Linked DNA regions of Neodiprion lecontei. The protein of the gene in region 3 binds, or shares a complex with, the protein of the main gene of each other region. Links are inferred from orthologs where the notes say so. Each region holds a gene or a part of one and is shown on either strand. Other genes may lie near its edges. The genes, in order: maternal protein exuperantia, GRB10-interacting GYF protein 2 and ATP-dependent RNA helicase me31b.

The links.
Region 1: ATP-dependent RNA helicase me31b (region 3) and maternal protein exuperantia share a complex: the UniProt entries of both Drosophila melanogaster proteins name them as parts of the osk RNP complex. The link is inferred for Neodiprion lecontei from reciprocal best matches to the Drosophila melanogaster genes me31B and exu.
Region 2: the proteins of ATP-dependent RNA helicase me31b (region 3) and GRB10-interacting GYF protein 2 are in contact, whole or in part, in a crystal structure (PDB 6S8R), measured with the Drosophila melanogaster proteins. The link is inferred for Neodiprion lecontei from reciprocal best matches to the Drosophila melanogaster genes me31B and Gyf. Residues at the interface, in NP_523533.2 of Drosophila melanogaster: Tyr274, Ala275, Phe276, Val277, Glu279, Arg280, Gln281, Lys282, Val283, His284, Cys285, Thr288, Leu289, Ser304, Thr305, Gln306, Arg307, Leu310, Leu311, Lys314, Glu317, Leu318, Phe370, Pro420, Ile421, Lys423; in NP_001162827.1 of Drosophila melanogaster: Glu344, Asn345, Pro347, Glu348, Trp349, Ala350, Ile351, Glu352, Pro354, Ser355, Lys356, Leu357, Gly358, Gly359, Ser360, Phe361, Asp362, Ala363, Ser364, Gly365, Ala366, Phe367, Gly369.

What each region holds. Positions count from the first base shown.
Region 1 is NC_060266.1:19,232,732-19,241,529, forward strand, and holds maternal protein exuperantia, read left to right. Parts: upstream 1-2,571; 5' UTR 2,572-2,755; intron 2,756-2,935; exon of another isoform or gene 2,936-3,182; intron 3,183-3,462; 5' UTR 3,463-3,488; coding exon 3,489-3,782; intron 3,783-4,188; coding exon 4,189-4,470; intron 4,471-4,658; coding exon 4,659-4,854; intron 4,855-5,630; coding exon 5,631-5,773; intron 5,774-6,185; coding exon 6,186-6,515; 3' UTR 6,516-7,350; downstream 7,351-8,798. Other genes in the region: m7GpppX diphosphatase, read right to left, coding at 7,668-7,840, 7,912-8,254, 8,642-8,787. UniProt on the Drosophila melanogaster protein: Ensures the proper localization of the mRNA of the bicoid gene to the anterior regions of the oocyte thus playing a fundamental role in the establishment of the polarity of the oocyte. May bind the bcd mRNA.
Region 2 is NC_060263.1:40,977,986-40,984,307, reverse strand, and holds the start of GRB10-interacting GYF protein 2, read left to right. Parts: upstream 1-2,608; 5' UTR 2,609-2,793; intron 2,794-3,465; 5' UTR 3,466-3,478; coding exon 3,479-3,510; intron 3,511-4,312; coding exon 4,313-4,544; coding exon of another isoform or gene 4,545-4,553; intron 4,554-6,296; coding exon 6,297-6,322. Other genes in the region: uncharacterized protein C1orf50 homolog, read right to left, coding at 1-34, 228-340, 455-515; transcription initiation factor TFIID subunit 10, read left to right, coding at 1,274-1,393, 1,459-1,523, 1,614-1,815.
Region 3 is NC_060261.1:14,906,343-14,912,554, forward strand, and holds the start of ATP-dependent RNA helicase me31b, read right to left. Parts: upstream 3,446-6,212; 5' UTR 3,059-3,445; intron 1,471-3,058; 5' UTR 1,442-1,470; coding exon 1,301-1,441; intron 899-1,300; coding exon 692-898; intron 619-691; coding exon 447-618; intron 203-446; coding exon 52-202; intron 1-51. Other genes in the region: zinc finger protein 2, read left to right, coding at 4,730-4,790, 5,293-5,980, 6,161-6,212. UniProt on the Drosophila melanogaster protein: ATP-dependent RNA helicase which is a core component of a variety of ribonucleoprotein complexes (RNPs) that play critical roles in translational repression and mRNA decapping during embryogenesis, oogenesis, neurogenesis and neurotransmission.

The DNA.
Region 1 (8,798 bases), on a different chromosome or scaffold from region 3:
ATCAATGATGTAAAATAACTAAAAAATCAAAAACACAGGAGTTTGAATCGAATCAAAATACCCTTGAAAAACACAGCTACGTTCAGTATCGAAATCTAGTGATATTACAACAATTCTTGCTAAAAATTGCCAACTTTTACACAGACAACGGTTATAAACGTCGAGGAACAAACTAAAATTGATTATAACCAAAAAGGATATCCCAGGACGTCCATCCGTCACAGAGTTGCGCAGTGTATACCGTTAAATTAAAAACTAATTGGATTGCATGCCACCGCGGAGGGTATAACGGTTAGAATAGTTAAAATTAAATGGGATAATAAAACGAATGTCATATCGAGATAGAAGGGCGGGCAATCCATGATTGTTCGAAGGCAAATTGCGCCCCATTTATCAGCGTACCAAAATAGCGGGACTGCATTCAAACACGGGTGAAAATTTATTCGCATAATTCTGCCTTACACGTTACCGAAGAAAAAAAAATCTACAAAGAGCTTTTTCTCTATACGCTACATATTTTCTAATTATATTGACACGTTAAATCTGATTCTCTTATATTTTCTACATATTTTCAGGCCTACTATACAAAGCCATGACGTCACTTTATTGTTTCACCAATATCAAATTATCGCATTATTTGAAACAAAGTATAGAGCAAGTAACCATAATCAAAAGGCAATATAGTACTAGATTTTCTGGTCATAGGTACTAAACCAATTTACACTTTGTACCCAGAACTATATTTTTTATACATAGTTCAGAGCGAATCACACCTATTTTTTATTGTTTTTTTTTTTTTTTTTTTTTTAAATACATGAAGTACAATTGATTTTTGTGAGCTAAATTCTCGGTTTTAAGAATTTAGCTAGAGATGAAATTATACTTCAGGCTCTTTAACTGTCATTTGATTTGGCGTACAAAAACGTTTCATATACAATTACATATTGTGAAAATCAGTGCGGTGCCGAAATAAAATTATCATTCTGCCTAACGGCGGACGTTTTGATTCTGTGTGAAAGTTCGAATCCACCTGACGAACTTTGAGAATGAGAAAAAAAAAAAAAAAAAACAATGTTTTCCTCGACATCGTGAACCAGAAATTGTCGGTCGTTACTTCATGCAAAAAATTTGTTACCAAAAATATTGTTATCCACGTCAAATAACAAACATTAGTATAATATAAATATAAAAAAAAATTAGTTATAGTGTATACACGTATTGCAGAAAGAAACGGTTATGGTCTGCTCATACGAATAGAAAAAATATAATAATTATACGCTGCACTAGGAATTTCTCTCGGTGGGAAGATTCCTTTGTTTATGACGATGTAAAATTTAAGTACTCGCAAGGACTTTTTCTCGTCGATTCATAGTCAAACTAATATTTCTTTCACCTATGAAGGGGTATGACATCGGGGTATGCTTAGCGTCTCTTCCACGTACTTGACCTGCTTGTTTAGGCCATCGAAGAGGAGGAAATTTACGACCCTGAGGCGACGACACCCACCACTTTTCAGGCCTCTTCTAAGAACATGCCTCGAGCTCCTTGGACTTGGTCTATTTTATGGTGTTTTAAACTGAATCTGTTCACCGCGCTATTTTCCGGGCTAAGTGGAGTTTTCATATAACTCCATTAACGTGTTGAAACTTAACAGATGATGCCGAAAAGAAACTTCGCATCTTTAACTTGAAGATTTAACTGTCGAGAGGAATGACTTTTGTTATTGACATTCGTCTGCAAATTTTTATGAAAAATCATATCAAAACGATTCTCTCGGTAAACTCCATTTGACTTCTTATCAACCCTCTATATTATCAGACATAACAATATCTACAGAAATACTAAAATTTACTGAAACATTTTTCTTTGAAAAACCATTTGATTTTAAAACTGAAATTTTTTGCAACCGGGTAAAACTCTTCGGATATAATGGAGGACTGCAAGAATTCTGTTTTATCGCTCGTAAATGTCGCATATTTTACAAAATTATTTACTGCTTACATGTTATATTTTTCATAACGTTCTGGGGTTGGTTTTACGACAGCTTAGAAATGGAAATAATAATACATAAAGCGCGATTTCGTTATATTCATTTTCTATTGAATCCGTCCAACCTGTGATAAAAAAAAAAAATAATGACAGCGCTTGGATGATAAAGAAGAACTTTCGGACCGGCGCAATGTGAATCGAGCAAAAATTTGTACGGAAATTATCCGCCATAAAACGCAGCATAAGCAATATATCACAGACCAGAACGAAGCGGCAGCGTAGTCGGCCATGGTCCGAAATTAAACACCCACGGACTGTTCGGTTTATCCTAAACGGTCGAGAGTCGCGTAAGCTTGTGGGTTCCGATCTTTATTTATAAATTTGATTCATGCCGCGTCACGGCCACGTGACGCACTCGACGAAATTGAAGCGAGGATCGACACCTCAATCTCGATACTCGACGCACTTCAAGTGAATGCATCCGGCACGCGATTGGCCATTGCCGATGTGCCAGCGCTGCGATTAGTGGATGAAGAGCGCCTGCGCAACGCGGCGATTATACTCGCTTGCCACTTCGGTACACGTGCGCAGCTCTCATCGTGTATTTCGCTTTAGGAATCAGCAGACTATAGAGTCTAGAAGCCAGTGGGTGAGCAGTCGAGTGTCGTCAGGCAGCCTTTCCTGGAACCGAGATTACGCGCCGCACGTAACGCCGCAGAGCTCCGAGCCACCCTTCGCACCAGGATAAATTAAACTTAAGCCGAGGGTAAGTCCCTGCGATATAATAAGCCTCATTTAGGGCGGGGCCTTTCCGCCAGTTCGGCAAAGATGGTAGCCCTGACTGCCGGCCACGTGTGGATTCATTTTTGTCACCGAAAATCGAAAAAATCCCCGAGCGCTGTTCTGCCGGGTTCCGAGCATTCCCGGAACTTCGCCAAACTTCGCGCCGCATCAACAACGTGAACAAATGACTGGCTCGTCTCACAACGCAACGAGCATTTCCCTGTTCGCGATCTCTTCCGTCATCCGCGAGCCCCGCAAAATCGTGAAAATCTGTTCATTTTAATCTCACAGTTTTGACCCCGTTCATTTATTCCTTCGTCGACGTTTATCCGTTCATCTCTGCTAGTCCGGCGGCGATATCTCCGCCTACGAATAGGCGAGTCAACGAGGTATCGACGATTCCGATACACGTAAATACGGCCTTTTTATCCTTCTCTCTTGTTTACTATCTGATGAACCGAAAACAAAGACCTTTGTTTGAATTATCTCAAGCACACTACGCTAATCTGGAGGTTAATCCCGTTGTTGTGACAATGTCAAGTGCCAGGTTTTTTCACGCATTTTTTTTTTTCGTTTTTTGCCTGACAACGATTCTCACTAACACGAATTTCAGCATCATTTTTCCTTGTTCTTTCCGGTGTGACTCTTCCTGGCGTAATAATCAACTCTCCCATTTCCTCTGGGTTTCAGATAAGTGATATTGAGATACAGCAAATATGGTGTCGTCAACCGTAGTCGAGAATGGCGAAACAATCGCCCCGGTGGTAAGTTCGTCACCAGCTGTCGGCGTGCCGCCTGGTGATTATAGGCTCGTAGGATGGGACATGGACGCCACTGGCAGGAGACTGATCGACGAGATTTGCCAAATTGCCGGGTATACGCCGAGTTCCAGCTATGGCCAGTACGTCATGCCTTTCAAGGACCTCAATCCACCTGCCAGAAAGAGGCACAATATTAGAGTTGTTACCATCGGAAAATACCGAATGCTCAAGGACAACAAGACAAACAAGGTGATGATACCATAAATAGAGCAGTTACACTTATCCTTGTGCACATATTGTTTCTATTCATTTGCAGAGCAAACAGGAACTGTAATCCTCGCTGAATATTTTTATCTCACTTTCTCTACGCATCGTTGTTGATTTCGTTGATGGAAAAATTGAAAGAACTCAGATGATGCATTAACGATCTACTTCGGACCAGAATTTAACACCAATATCAATATATTACAATGTTTCATTTTTCTATCATCTTATCTAGTTTTTCTTTGCTGAGATTAGCATTAGTAAACAAACATTAGTAAATTTCATATCGTTGTAAAATCTGAAAATTTGCATTATTTGAAAAGTAGTAAATACGTTGCAACATGTTTTTCGATGCGGATAAATTTTTTTTTTTTTTCTGTCATTGTCACAGGTCCTAAAGACGAAAAGTGAGATATCTGCGCTGATAGATTTTATCACGTGGCTTGAGTCGGTCAAGGGAGATGCGGCCGATGGTGTGATTCTAGTTTATCATGAGCCACGCAAAGTCATACCTTCCATGCTGCTTGAATCGCTGAGGAAATTCAACCTTTTAGATCGATTCAAGCAAACCGTTAAGGGCTTCGCTAACGGGTTTAACGTTGCAGAGGTCAAATGCGCCGATACAGTACGCACATTTTCCCTACGCACATTATCGCGTGTTATGCTAGACAAGGTAAACCCTGCATTTTCTAATGCTGATTATAAAAACAATGATCATATCTGCAGATACAGATTTCAAAAACGCTAAGAATTTGATGATATCTTCCAATCATCCGTTAGTTTTCATGTAATCAACTAATTGGGAAAAGGAAAATTACGTCGATCTCTTAACTAATATCAATATCGTATTTGAATTCCAAGGAAGAAGAGTTAGACAACGCCGTTGATAGAGCGCGTCTAGCTCTCCAAGTCATACAGCACTTGAGCGCTGGTGAAGAAACTGCAAAGGGCGCCGAGAGTAGCGGAAGTGGTGATAGCGACGCCGCGACAAAAGGGACCATAGAACTAATAAGAGAATTCGTACAGCCAACGCATGTCGAAGAAAAGGAATTAGCTGGTACAAAAGCACAAAATTTCCCTACAGATATCTTTCATTGGTTAAGGATATAAGTTGATGGCTGAGAAGGTGGGTAAATTTTGAGAATTTATATCTCAAAAACCAATAATTCAATTCGATTGTTTTTATTCAAAAGTATGTAGATCAAACTTCATTTACATATTTTTGTCACTTGGATCAATTAATAGCCACCATTGTTATTGACAATAACATCAATGATTTGACTCTGTGACATGTTTTGCTTTGCCCACGATGTGTCAGAAACGGCTTAAACGATTTACCTCAAATTTTGAAACCGTATATTCTTGAATAGTTTATCCTGTTTGCAACAATCTGAAATTTTTTTCAACTAAATGGCAAGCGTTTGAAATTGTCATTAGATTTTTGCCGAAAATTTACCAGTATTTTATATAAGTAAGAAAAAAAAAGATGTTTAAACGTAAGTAGGAACTTTGCAAAGAGGATAAACTATCCAGGAATATTGTCTTCGAATTTGAAGTAAATAGGTCGAGCTGTTCTTGAGATATCTTGGGCACCACAAACATGTCGCCGGGCCAAACGGTCGACGTTATTTTCAAAAATACTTCAGCAAAACTCGATCTACTTAAACTTTTGAGTAAAACAAACCCCAAATGAATAGAATACTTGGTTGTCAAGACATAAATTCCCAAAGTTTACAAAATTTTTCAGTCCTACTTGTGATTAGTTTTTGAAAAGATGACCAAGGAAATAGATACATGATTGGAAAGAATTTGACAAATGTATTCGTGTTACAGGTTTGAAATTGGTCCTCAATCGTCAAAATAGTCTAAGACCTGTATTCGGAATGCTACTGCGCCAAAGTCGCCGCGAACGACAACATGCTAGCCTCTTACGCCGATTATTAGCCGAGGCTAATGTCGACTACGTAGAACTGCAGGTGAGTCATAATTTTAGGATTCAAATTTCTCACGAAATTTCGATAAGGAACTAATACGGTAATAGAAGTAAACCAACAATTTTCGAATTTCGATTTCTGGCTGTCTATTTGACCTCTTCGAATAAATTCTCTATAAATGTTAAACTTCTTCGATGAAATTATGCAAATTAACAAAAAATTCGATGCGACCAACTCGATTATATGCATGAATGCTTCATGGTCGCTCTTACTTTGCTGATAACTCAAGTTTTTGTACATTCTTATCAGTTTGTTGGTTCTACGCACATGTACCTTTTCTTTGACTGAGTCACATTGTTTTTGTTTGTAATCAACAGTCGAGTGAGAGCTTCTGAATTTTGTACCCACTAATGAGGTATCTCTTTAACTCGATTGTGATTTTCAATAATTTTAGGAAGTATGGTCGAACGAGAAAAGGGAGGGTTTGCAAAAATTAATAAAAGAGAAAGTAACAGGAGCGAAGGAAAATGAGGAAGAGGAACTGTTGGAGGTACTCGAGTGTCACTTTGACCCAGAAAAAAAGATGAAGCCGAAGTTAAGTGTAGAAAAAAAAGAAGGAAAGAAAGGAAATATTGGCAAAGGTGCAGTGGAATCTAAAGAGAACATCAAAAACGAATCCGCTACCGAGAGTCCAGATACAACAACAACAAGTTCTCCTTTGAAAGAGAAACTTGTACCCCAGGAAAATGCTGAGGTAAAAGCTTCGGATGTGAAATGCGAATAAAATCAAAATATCCTGATGCCAGTGCCTTATTTCAAATACAGAATGAACATTTTTGTTCTTGAATTTCCTACATTGGTATGATAATATTTAAAAACTAAGTGAAAATGTTGATAAAAAAAAAAGAAAAGATATACTAAGAAAAGAAAAACGGCAGATGAGGTTAGCTTGTTATAGAGTTTTATTTAGATTTCTCGTGATATTCGAACAGGTTTGTCAGTCCTGGAGACTACAATGTCCGGTTCGATTCATATAGTACTATATTATATTATATTATTTACTTTAGTTCGTCACAAAATGAACGTATTATTTTTTTCGTTTTTTTTTCTGTTTATTATCTACCGAGTTTATGTTGATTTATTTTTTTGTATTACTCAGTTTTCTATCTAAATAATAAGATTCGTTTAATCTCCTTGTGGAATTACGTTGGGGTCACAAAATTAACAAATAAATAAATAATCCCAATGTAAAAAATTTATACTTATATCGCACTTGATGATTGAATTATCGATTTATTGTTGTCATTATAAATACATTGGATAACTTCTGTGCATAACTAAAATTGCAATTATTTAATTTTTTTAATTTTTTAATTTTCTTTTTTTTTTTCTTTTTCTTTTTTTTTTCTTTTTCTTTAAAGTATAAACTGGCGGAACATTCATGCTGCGTCAATAAAAAAAACAAAGCAAAAAAAACGAAAAAACTACAAATAAAACGAGCAAAAAAATAATATAAACAAGGTGCATGATAATTACAGGATTACTAAAAGTAAATAAATGAAAAAATAAAAAAAAAACTTACTTAAATATTCACGACTTGAAAAGCAATGAGGATAATTGTTGATTAATTCATCATACCGTGCTAGTTACGTTAGGATCTCATTGTATTATTAATATAATTAAAAAAAAAAATGTTAATAAATATATAATTTTGCAATTGCATACTTATCATTATCAAACGATGCCACTTCAAATTTGAAACGAAAATAGGGAAACCATCGTTTTTCCCAACATTAAGTATCAAGTTCTACAGTGTATCATAAGACTAATAATTATGATAAAAATAGTGGTATGAACATTCACGATTGAAAGAGAAAAAATTTATTCACTATTATCTCTGCACGTGCCGTGTTTAAAGTACAAAGGAATCTTAGAACTATTTTTTCTCTACAGATTGTGAGGATAAAACTCCATGTGCTTGATATTTAGAAAACAAGGTCTCCGATTCTTTGACAACAAACGATAAAGTAGCTTTAGAATAATATTCTCCCATCAGTTCAATGTTGTTAATGACTGTGGACAGCAGATGAGCCTTTTCAGTGAATATACCTGTAAAAATGGGCGGACATAAATATTTGACAATACAAAGAAATACAGTGAAAGTGCAAGATAAGGTTTACCTGGAGCGTCATATTTCAAATATGTGAAATGAATGTGAAGATGATAAAACGAGGGTTGATAGTGAAAATAAATTCTAAGCTGCGATGCTGGAAGTCCGCTGTATTTCTTAGAAATTGCTTTTGTGCCGGCGTCGCGAATGTTCTTAAGCAACGGCAAATGCGATTGGTCCAAATCTCTAATTGATTTGATTCCCTTTAGCATCGGAATTGCCAAGAGGTACAAAGTTTCCAGACTTCCGTCCCATTTCAAATCTGGTATCAAAACAAAGCCTGTTTTTGGGTCTGGATCCTCAAAGACTATTCTTTCTTTCTCGGCCTTGTGCTCCAAAATGTTATACACCCACTGTAGACAAACATTAAGGGGTTAATATGAGTTAAACATTTGCTCAAGAAAGTGGTGCAATGAAAAAAATGATGAAAAGGTCAGCGCTGTAAGTAAAAAACATTATAACATTAATAACAACTTTAGAAAGATCACATTATTGCAATGATGTAGACGATGCTAAAACATTTTGTCCGTTCAATTTTCATGTATGAAAGATCAATTTGTGCATAAATGAGTTTTCTAAAAAAACACTCAAGACAGATTTGTTATAATAAAGCGTAAATTTACTGCTCGTGTAAAATGAACCCAACACTCATTTACATTACTGATGTTGCAGTGTTCGTTGCGTAACTTTCTTCCATTCATCAAAGGTCAACTAAAGTTATGTATTTACATAGAAAATACCTGCAGCGAAAATTGTTCCTTTTTCAAATGGGGCAAAGTGATTTCCTCGTAAAGTTTTGGAGTTTCTTCAACGATATGGATCGGTTGATTTTCAAATTTTGCAATATGTTTTTCCATTGCCGGGTGAATGATTGTAGTCTTAATACCTTGGAGTTAG
Region 2 (6,322 bases), on a different chromosome or scaffold from region 3:
TGTTGCAGGCGTTAGCCTTGACAAAATTGTCCGCCTGTTAATGACATACATAAATTATTACACAGAATATTGATCGTATTCTAATTAGCGCCTTTTTTTGAATAATGTATCTTTAACATCGATGTGAAATGTAGTAAATATTCACTATTGTAATGCTGGACATATTTTGCAAAGCAAAATGATTCAACAACAAATTATGATGATATGACATGAATAGATTAAATTACTTTTTGTATCTCCAGAGCGAGCATCACTAAATCATTCGGTGCTTTTTTTGCAATAGCCGATGGATTAACCAATGTAACTCCTTGAGGCGTAACATTTCGTTCCACAAGACGAACTGCACAGTAAAGAATGACGCAGCTATAGAAAATATGATTCCCATGACTTGAAAAAACATATTTTTATATTATATATTACTGATGGAATTGATGTCATGTAAATATTTGCATACCTTTGGACGACGGAATATTACTATAATTTTCTAGCTCCATCGCGGCGTGAACACGTTTCATGCGTTCAGCGGAATATAAAAATAGAAAAGATCATATAGAGTGATAATAACTATTGTGATTATTGTTCACGAAATAATTAAAAGCAAAAGTGGCGCGATAAATACACAAAATTAACATGTGAAAAAAAAAAAACAATTTCCGGCCGCAAGTTCTCAGCGACTGATTTTTACCGCATGTGCTGAAAATCTTAACCTCAAATGAAAATATCTGTACTGAACGCACTCGCGTATTTCATAAAATGTCGGGGCCTTCCAACCACTAATTCCAACTAAGATGTGACAAATCTTATCTAAGGATTCGTCGAACAACTCTTATTTTCATATATTCACTACGGATAAGTAATTATTTTGTGCTTGAGTCATCGGTAATGTCTTCATTCCCCCGATCGGTAATGTCGTGGTCGTCTGTTAAAGTGCTAAGTGCAGAAGTGCTTCCAGAGATTCGAGATGCGTTGATCTGCCGCCAACTTCACTCACTACCCACGAGCGACACTCAGTGTCGCCAATTTAGTGATTTTGTCGTTAGTCTGGAGTTTTCGAAGGTTTCTCTCTGCTTATTGTACTGCCAGAGAGAGGGATTGCAATATTTATTTACATCTAAATTAACCTTTTTCATCTATCCACGATAATCTTACCCTCTAGAAATAATTTCATGCTACTAAAGCCACAACTTGTAACCGTTTTTACGAGAAATCGAAACATCGTTCGTTACTAGAGAAATTGCAGCGGCTCAGATTTAACGAAATCTGAATTACGGAAATGGCAGAAGGTTACGGACGAGACACACCTCCGATATATTCGGGAACTAACGAAGAACCTCGATCAGCTGGGCAACCTTTATCCGATTTTCTACTGCAACTTGAAGATTATACTCCGACTGTACGTAAGTCGCTCTATGATATTGGAAGAAGTTATATCTTTGTAAAACAAGCAGTTTATTTCAGGTTCCAGATGCGATCAGTGCTCACTATCTCCATACAGCTGGTTTCAACACGACTGATCCAAGAATGTAAGAGTAAAACGAGAATTATTCGATAGATATTTTATTATTTATTGGTTTGTAATTGCTCATGGAACAATTCTATTCTCCTTGTTTTAGTGTCAGGTTAGTTTCGTTAGCAGCTCAAAAGTTCATCTCTGAAATAGCTAACGATGCGTTACAGCACTGTAAGACGAGAGGAGCAAATCAAAATACTAAGACGAAAGGAAAGGATCGCCGCTACACGTTAACAATGGAAGACCTGACACCAGCTGTTGCTGAATATGGCATAGTGGTCAAGAAGCCGCACTACTTTGTCTGATTTATAATAATGAGTCCCTTTATCAGAGAGAAACTTAATTCTATACTGTATCTGAATGACTTCTCAAAGGTGTGGATTTCTAAAAAAATTCTTTCATGCAGTTTGCTTAAGCTCAAATGATTCACTCTTAAATAGCCGGTTGCACAGATCTGGAAAAAAGAACGTTTTATTGTTACTATTCTTTGTAACGACTTAAAATCCCTTTGAATAAACTGTCTTAAAATATAAGAGTCTCTTTCTTACCCTTTAGACACAATTGCAAAGAGAAATTAATTACCATTCAGATTTATAGTACTACAAATCGATACGATGAAAATAATAGCTGTTTTCGATTTCAAAACATAATCCGTAAATCTGTCGGTATCAGTTGAAACTTTCTTAAATTTTTCCTAATTTTTACAGCCAGCTTTAACCATATATGGCTTTAATCAGGAGTCGGTTAAGTCAAAGAGTCGGAACGGTAAAATAACTTGGTCGGTTGAAATGAATGTCTGTGTTGGAAAGTAATATATCAGACCGATATTTTCGTCACAGTTGTAACGTACATTAGGACATAAGTAAGTGGAAGGATTAAAATTGATGATATAATCTGTCAAAAAAAAATTGATAAACAAACCGGAGTCGGGTTGAAATGAGTTCCTATGTCTGGGTTTATTTTACTTGCCACATTTCGAAAACAAAAGAGTTGAAGAACTCGGTAACGACTCGGTATTCAAAGGTCAGCCAATCTGCAGTTTTTTCTTCAAAACTTCCGTTTAGGCAAATAAAAGGTACTTTTTAAAAGCAGGAAGCAAAAGATCTTCCGAGGTCTTCCACTTTCGTACAAGTGGCGCCTTGTACGGGGATTTGGGTTTGGCTTTAAATCTCTGATCACGTGACAAAAAACACTACGCATGCGTTCAGCGTTCTATCTCAAAAAACCCATCGGCCATATTGGTGTGTTGTTTCATTCGCCCAATAATTCCGAACCCCAATAAGGTATTTCAATAATTTATATAGCAAACTAGACGCTACTGGCAGTGAAATATTGCAACAAAAGCATTGGTGACAAACTTTTATCAAAGAATATGATGATCCGGTGGCATATCGTGATTTCTACAATCGAAAAAAGTTTGGTTAATATTGCCACCTTGGCTGCTGTGGGATACTACATGCATACATACCTACGTAGATTCTGCTCCGTCAAAAAATATGTCGTAAATAAACGGGAAGAATATTTCTGTTTTCGCGTCTTTCGATTCTGGTATTCGTTCCTTTCCGCGCAACGATATCGCAGTTTCATTTCCCGCTGCTCGACACTTTCGTGACGCTAATTTCGGCTCCTCTACGTTCTCCAGTCTGTTGCATCTATTGTATATTCTAGGTATATTCTAAATCATCTGTTTCGTGTTCTAATTCATCAATCCTTTCAAACGCGAAATCATCCCTATACGCGAATTACTCGAGCTTTAACCGCGTTATCGAATGTCCAGGGTGTAAGTAAAACAGAAATTGAATAAAAATTCTCAAAACGTGAAGTAACAGTTAAATATTATATTTTTAAAATCCGGATAAAGACTGTTATTTATTATTTACTATTGTATTTTTTCTTTGCTGACCGTTTGTGCCAAACAAATACATGTATTCATGCTACTTTATTTAATTTTTCAGCTAACTTTGCGAGATGACGGAATCAATGAGATTTGGTCCAGAGTGGTAAGTTATTCCCTAAAAAAATTTCGCTGGCGTTATGATTTGGCAGCAGATTTTATCATTCAGAATCTAAATTTTCATTAAAATTTTGAGATACTATCATTTATACAATTTTAAGAAATAAATCCTGCAAACAGATTCTTTGGCATTTAAAAAATTTTGATAATCTTGTGATTGGTATTTGATTAATCTAAGTGAAAAATTTCATTTTGAAGCGATGGTTTTATAACTATAAATGAATCTTTCTTTCACCATTGTCTGACATTTGCTTTCATTTATATGATGATTTTTAGATAACACTATACTTTGTCATTATTGAAAAGCCGAAAGTAAAGGTATTTACTCATCATAAAAAGATAGTGCATTTCACACTTGACATTTTTACTATGCAAAGTCAGTTAGAGACCTGAAAAGTACTTTAAAACCCACTTCCACTAAAAACTAATAAAGCATAAAAAATTCATAAGATACTCTGAAATTTTTAAATATTTACAATCAAAATTTTTGTGTACCATGAAAGACAACACGATCAAGTCAAAAAGTATATTCTGTCATTTGCGTAACAAAACGAGTTTCTTTTTTTCTTTAATCTTTTAGTCGCATCATTACGAACAACTGAATCTGAAAAATAATAAATAAAGTAGCTAAAGGATTAAAAGAGGAAGAAAGAATTGAATCTCGCACAATTTTATAATATATGTAGCGCATAAGTTATAGTTATCAATGTCTGCATGGTGAGCTATTCTCTGTTTCCCTGTTTTTTCCTTTCCTCACATCTCTCTGACAAAACTTTGCCGTTGTACAGGTTGCGCAACTTGTCAGGAGACGGTTGCAATACCAGCGGAGGAGGGGGAGGGCCTAGTATCCTGACCACCCCTCGTTACCAGCTAGCTGAGCATAGATACGGTCGAGAAGAGATGTTAGCTCTGTTTGACCGGAATTATAAAGCACCCGAACCACTCGCTTCTTTTCCTGCCCTCTACATTATACAAGCTCAACAACCGCTGGCACTCACACCAATGACAGAAGAAGAGGCGGTAAATGTGGTTGTTATTACTATCATCATATTTTTGATAATTTCTGCTCATTCCGCACATATACCTAACTTATTTCCTGCTCATCTTTTCTGTCCCAATGACTCGTTTCCTGTTAGAATCTCTTCTCGAAATTGAGAATCAGAAATGAAAAAAAAGTAAACACTAAGGTTACACACCATGCCAATGCATCTCATTGCAATATGCTTACTAGGAATATTTGCTTTGCTATCATTTTTGAAAATCTATCTTCGTTGTGTTGTGTCTTTTGGAATGTACAAGTACAACTTGAATCGGTCTGATGGTTATAACTTTAGAAAAAATTTTACAAGTAAGCAACTAAACTTTACGGGTAAATAGTAGAATCTTCGTGTAACTTTAACTTATGTTTCATTCAAAGCAAAACCTGGATTCATTATAATAAATAAAAGTAGATCTATTAACTTTTTTCATTACAGAAAAATGGTGATAATTATGGAAAATGTATATACATATATATGCGCACATTTTCCATATTTATCAACATGTTTCTGCAATGCAAAAAGTCAATATATCTACTAAATATATATACACCCACGCACACACACACACACACACACACATCATATACTATGAAATATTGCTGTGCTTGTGGAAAATTTGATAAAATCATTTACAGAAAACATCGAAATGACTTGTTAAAAAAAAAAAAAAAAAATAACAACAATGATACATGGCGTTAAATGGTAAGAAATGTAATGTTCAATGAGATTGAATTTGGTAAAAAGAATTCTTCTAATGCATATAATGATGTGTGACGTAATATTTAACATTCCATTTGCATATATATACGATGCTAAATATTTTCAAACTCGATATGACCTTGAACTTTGAATCACGGTATTTGTATTTGAGCAAACAAAATGTAGGTTGGATAAAATTGAAATTACGATTTTATGGATACTGCTACATGGCTTGGAAGATGTAAGAATATTTTTATTTCGAATAGATCGATATTTGACTAAAATGTAAGAAGAGATAGAATGCGATTCAATATGTGCACATACATATATTTTCGTATCGTCTTGTATTAGTGTCGTATCTTATATTGGGAACTGTGTCATTCTTGGTCGTGTTCTAAAAATATACAGCCACTCTCTGGAGCCCTTGCGCCAAACTTCCTGGCTTGTATAAGCCTCTGCACTTCAATTGCTTGGCCTTCCCTTGTCGTGAAAAAGATTCATCTCTATTGCGGTAATCGATATGTCCGTAGCCGAAGTTGATCAATTTTTATTCTGTAGCAACGAAGCGTTTGTAAGTTTATTACATAAAATCAGTGATAATGTGATAGTGAACCGCTGACTGCTACCGTTAAAGAGTTCACAGTTCTATATCGAAGACTCAGTATTATTAGAAACTTCTGCAACATACAGAGCCATAGGAAAAAATATTCAAATCGACTTTTTGAGACTATTCTATTTAAATACTTCATTGTAACAAAATCCTACTCAGTCTTACTCGGCCCCTTGTCGCTACTGGATCATGTTTCTGGATTAAAGAGTTTGAAAAACATAGGAACAAAACAAAAGTATATTATTAATCGCTTTCTCCAAAAAAAAAAAAAAAATATTGCGTACATTCTACTCAACTCCGGTAGACTATCATGCAGCTAACAAAACCAATACCGAAAGTAAATCCTTTCGTTATTCTCACATTCTTTACCCGATTACCAAAATAGTGTTGGAATGCTCTGATAGACTGTATCCGTCATTTCAGCGCTCCTGGAATAGTGGTTTATCAAA
Region 3 (6,212 bases):
GAATCCAGAAAAACCAAAATGCGATTGGACCACATTTGCAACAGTTTATACCTGGATATAACGTGATCCAGCATCCCCTTAAAGTCTTGGGATAGAAGCTTGTCAGCTTCATCCAATACAAGGATTCTGCAGTGATCCATATTTGCAACATTTTTATCCATCAGATCAAGGATACGTCCCGGTGTCGCAATGATTACTTGCACTGGAAAAGTACATTTCAATAAGTGCGTATAAATTAGGAATCTTAAGAAGGAAATTCATCTACAATCAACAAAAGCAATCTAATACATTGGGTCTGAATGTATGAGAATGGCGTAATTGGGTAAATCGACAAAACAGAACAATGTACAAGACCAATTCTGTTTCAACTTCTATTAGAGAAGATGAACAAGCCCTGGTTGTCAACAGATTTCCAGACTATTACGGACTATTCAACAAACGCTAACCTTTTTGGTAAATCCTCATAATGTCGTCGCGCAGATTAGTTCCTCCAGTGGTAACCATGACCTTGACGTCCATGTGTTTTGCAAGTTCAATGCATATCTGTGATGTCTGCAGAGCCAATTCTCTAGTAGGAACTATCACTAATGCTTGAATAACATCTTTACGTGGATCCACCTGCAAGATGCAATAATTAAAGTAGTGAAATTCGAACAACTTTCTATATGTCTCTTTGTTTATCTTTTCCTACCTGTTCTAATACAGGAATTGAATATGCACCAGTCTTGCCTGTACCATTTTTAGCTCGTGCAAGTACATCTTTGCCAGAAAGAGCTATGGGGATACTTGCTTCTTGTATCGGGGATGGCTTTTCCCATCCCTTCTCAAAAATTCCCATCAACAATTCACGCTTTAAGCAGAATTCCTCGAATTCATTTCCACGTGTGTCCGTAACATCCTATGATGTACAAAAAAAAAGTCTTGTAGCTTTGATTTGCATCACAAGTAATGCCTGATTATATTAGTTTAGGAGAAAATTTTTCAACTGCTAATAGTTCAAAATGTTTATGAAGAAAGTAATCTAATGTTATAATTAGTGTGTTATTCCTCAATTTTATGTATTCTTGAAGGAATTTTAGGAGATTGGTGTATCATTCACTAGCCAAAATAAATTTTTTTTATCAAGGTCTAATTTTACATCATTTTCCAATTGTCAGACACTAAGATTGATTACAACCGTTTCCATATTCCTAGTAATTTTATGAACCATGATTCTGAATGAGCACTGTTGGCATTACCAAATCAATTTAAGTGTCTTTACAACAGCTATTATCTTGAATTTTAGTTTAGTTTGACTCACACTTGTTTTGATGCGTTTGTCTTTGGGCGGAATTTTCAGTTTTGCTTTCCAACCTATATCGTCCATCTTTTCTAGATCACCTTTTGGACCCAAGCCGGAATTCAGCATGTGATTAGAATTAATATGAGTTTCGGTCATCATATCGTAGGCTTTAGAGTGTCTCAAATTTCCTGAAAGACAGAATTCAAGATGAAATTATAATCATAATCCACTTTATTTGTATACCCCGGATCCTAAACCTCGGAAGTTCACATCTTCATTTCCTTACTATTTTCATCAACCTGTTACAAACATTTATGAAAGTTATGCCTGTAATAGGAACTGTTAATTTCAGAATGAAATTCAACAATACAAAAAATAGAAATTGAAGATGACACACGGAACAATAAGCCTTGTGAAACATGAAATAACCGTACATTCTGCGAATTTTATCGAAACATTGCAGCTATCTACAGTAGGCGTTATCAGCAGGACGTGTACTTGACAATGGCTTTAAAAGAATAACAATATTCACAATCAACGTGAAAAATTCAGAGTACAAGGAGTTCATTTTAACACCAAGTGTAAATTTTAATTCAACAAATATGTGTAGACTAGCTGAAAATATTTGGCACGAGGTTGATATAAATTTAATCGTATTACCAAAACAACTATATAATTACAAAAGAAACTAAATCAAAAAATGAAGCAGCTCATGATAGAAATAAAGTAAGATAGAAATAAAAGGGAGGGAATGTGCAAGAGAGCTCGAATGGCAAGAGAAAAGAAGGGAGAAACAATTCTCAATATATAAGATTCATGTATTGCAAAAGACCGTGATCATAAATGTCTGAATGTATGGCAAAACAAAGAAAAGCTAAGGTGTGTATAGCGCTAAGCTGTACTTTGAGCTACGAAAAAAAATTTCAAAACTGAACAAGAAATACACAAACTGTGAATACTAGTTCAATTCAAGGTACACATACGCTGTTGCTGAAAAAATGTGTTTATATTGTCAAGCTTCGCTGAGTACAAAGATCGAGCAGTCGGTTTGAAATGTACCTTGAACAGTACATGGCTGAACATATAAAATATAGCTGAATGATTTTCATAATTTTCAAATAAAATTTGAAATTTTTTCTTTTTAGATTGCCAATAACAAGTATATGATAATTTTATTACTCTCTACGCTTGATTCGATTGCCGTTATTTTACTATGTTTGAAAATGAACCGACTGTGCTTTTTTCGGTAAAAAAAATCATGTGGCTACAGGCCAGCTATTTGAGCAAATAAAAAACGATGAATATACCGATGTGTACGGTGTATCAACAAAACTGGTATATACATCCTCCATTATGAATTTACTAAGCCACCGCAGTGCCAAACGGGTGTATAAACGAGGCTTTATGCCATGCCAACCGAAGGTTTCTCTTCTTTTTCTCTTTTCGCTCAGAATTCTCTAAATATATAATCTAACCAAGCAAGATACGAGGTGTACACGTATAATCATGAATTGAAATATTTGTGTAGATGCTGATAACGGTGAGAAAAATTTCACCAAGTACTAACAATACGGAATAGAATATCGCGGGCGAAAATCTTATGCCAAGCTGGATCCATTGTACCGTAACTGGCGCAGAGTTCTTTGAACTTTGATTTATAAACCGAAATAAATAATTGATGAGTCCAAACAAGATGTATTATGAACTTAAGTCAGAAATGTGGCTCAAACTCCATAATACGGTTCATAGAATGAGGTGAGAGAAGGTGTATCTTACCTTCAAACTGATGGATATCGATGCTGAAACACAGCACTCGATTCGGAAACAACACGCCAAAATGGCCGTTCCAATGTCAACTTTTTATAATCTCGGCTGTGCGGCCTGGCTCCCTTCCGTGGCACAATAACCTTCTACTTTCGGATATATATTACACGGGATTGTATCACGACGCTACTGGTATATTGTTTTTACAATAACTTTAACAATGAACGCACTGCGTCAATTGCGAGCCAATAATTATTATCTTTGAATGTAACACGATGTGTGCCGTGAAAAGAATAAAAACACTTTCGGAACACAAGCGGTTGCCTTGTGGCGCTCGGTGCGTGGCGTTCCACGAAACCAGTAACAACAGAGTGAAAGATTATCGCTGCGACACCAGGGCCGTGTTCGAAAATTTACTGACAGTACCACGATCTTACATACAGGTCTGGTAACTCCAGCACTTTTGAGTGGTAGGGGGTGTCACCGTTAGTAAGGCACACGGTCTTGTTTCCTATCTATCCGCTAGGGGCGCCAGTGGCCCGGGGTATAATAAATATAGATATATACCGATAAGATGATCTGCTCGTCGAAGTTTTTGACAGTTCATAACTCAGTGTAAAGTGTGTAAACGGTGTAACAAATTCAGGATTGTTGATTCCGAAAAATCAGCTGTTCGGATCTGATTTATGATTGGCTCACCCCGAGGGGGCAGCGCTGCAGACGGCGAAGACGGGAACCACGGTTCTTCCTCATTATCTGAGTCATTCCCCACCCTACTAGTTTCCGGACCTGTATGTAAGACCGTGGACAGTACTGTCAGCAATCTTTCATCTCTTTTGCGCTGCCGAGTTCATGGACAGCTCTGTCTCTGCCCTAGGGAATTTTAAGTACTGGCAGTTCTCTCTGCTGTAGAGACCTAAAAATCAATGCCAGTTTTGCAGCATGGAGATCGGTCTCCTTCCTTCTTACTCCCTGTCCCAGCCTCACACGTTTCACAACATTTTAGAGATACTTCAAAGCACGCTTCAAAATTTATAGATCCGTGAAACACTAACTGATCCGTTGAGTCGAGTGAAATGAATCAAATTACTCGAGAGCGGAAGAAGAGATCAGCTGCCCAGTATTCGCTGGGCAGTGAAAGTAGTTTCATGATTTTTTTGCTCTACCAGATCGCCTGCTTACTCTGTCTCATTTCTAAGGAATTTTTAGGGTTGGAAATACCAAACTATTTTCGAACAAGCCCGGAAAAGTATACCTTGCGTAAATCTTTGTAACGCAAGCATCAAGCTTATGGGTAATTTGAATTCGTATCACCATACTAAAACACAAGTATCATGGCTCTTATTATTAGGTTACCATTTCGTAGACTGATGTACCAACTTCCGAGGTTACAGAGTTTGACGGGATTGATAATGACACATGACATGTCAATCAATGTCTCATCGTCACACTCGTGGGTACAGATTGTCTGGTGTTTCTTTTTTGCAACCTTCTCAATGCGGTCCGGGATTAATGTATCTATGGCCTTGAAGAAGAATATTTCGAAACACGCCAATAGTGGATCACTTGTTCAAATAAGTTTTCAGATTTATTACTCTACAGAAAATAGTGTATTTGACATAATTGCAATTTTTCAATACATTCCTTGATATTGTAAAAGAATAATAAACAAACGTAAACAACATGCCACACTGCCTGATTAAATCGATGACAAGATATCAGAAAACAAGTAATTTACATGACGGTATGTATCACTCAATATTGTTTTCATCTTTTATTTTGAAAAATTGTTTGCTTAATTGGTGCAAAATTTTGCTCGCCGATCATGTTCCAGTCGAGGTTTGTAAATGGTACATTTCTGTAACTCTTTACGTACAAAACCAACGCAACAGAAAACTTGGAGCAACGTCAAAATTCCACTCACCATTATTAAAGAGTAGGTGCAAATTTTCAGGGTTAAGTGGAGATCAATTTCCAGGGAAGAAATTATGCGATATGGGTAGCTAATTTTCCAGCTCAAACCCGCGAAATTTTCTCTAGCGCATTGCGTTTTCTTGATTATAGGTTATATCACCACTGTTTTCTTCATCAACAATGTTACTGTGCAATCGACCATTCGCGATAAGTTCCATTATGTTGTGAAAGATCCAATTTACCCTAATCATTTATAAGATCAGTGATGCTTAGCATCAATTGTTTCTTTTTTTTTCAACCCATTTTCAATAATATTCCACAATTTTTCGTAGAGAACGAACTTTCCGTGTCGTGGTTGCCGACAGTATCTGATATCAGAAAAAAAAATCAAAGCAAAGAAGTGTCTTCAAAGTCTATAAATATGTGGACTTGTCCAAGACTTTCAATCGTAACTCGATACAGCTTTAAGAAAGATAACAGCATGTTATGGAACACATCAATTCCGGAAGAACTAGGCCTGCAGTTAATAGATTCCGGTGAATCAGCCGACGTACTTTCAACGTCTACAGTCATTGCAAGCGCGCCGACGGTAACGAATTACCTGTGTGACTTGAACGCAAGGAAGAAAGTTTTCGATGCCGACAAAGAACTGATCGAAAGATGCGAGATTATAAAAATCAACGACGCACAAATAAACGCTGAGGGCGGGAAATGCTGTAAAAATGATAATCAATCATCCGACGGAAAGTGCGTCGACCCCGAGTCGGTCGATTTATCTCCCACAATGCGATTACCGGCTAGTAACACTTTGATCAAAGCGATAAGATTTTACGAAGAAGAAAGAGCGCCCTACTCGGATGTCGGAAACACGGAAACTTGGAAACGCATCAAAGCCTTGCACTACTGCCCGTATTGCCGGAAGAGCTTTGATCGACCTTGGGTACTGAAAGGCCATCTTCGACTTCATACCGGTGAAAGGCCGTTCGAGTGTCCGGTTTGCCAAAAATCATTTGCCGATCGGTGCGTAACAAATTCAAAATTCAATTACATCGGCAAATCTTCCAAATTTACAACCTTTGAGGTTTGCAGAATTGCTTTCACATAATATTTCACTCCGTGAAAAGTGAAATTCGAAAACTGTTTCCTTTCATTTACGTTGTAAACATTTTACAATGTCCACTGCTAAATTTCTCTGCGCAGATCAAACTTGAGGGCTCATCAACGGACCCGAAATCACCATCAATGGCAATGG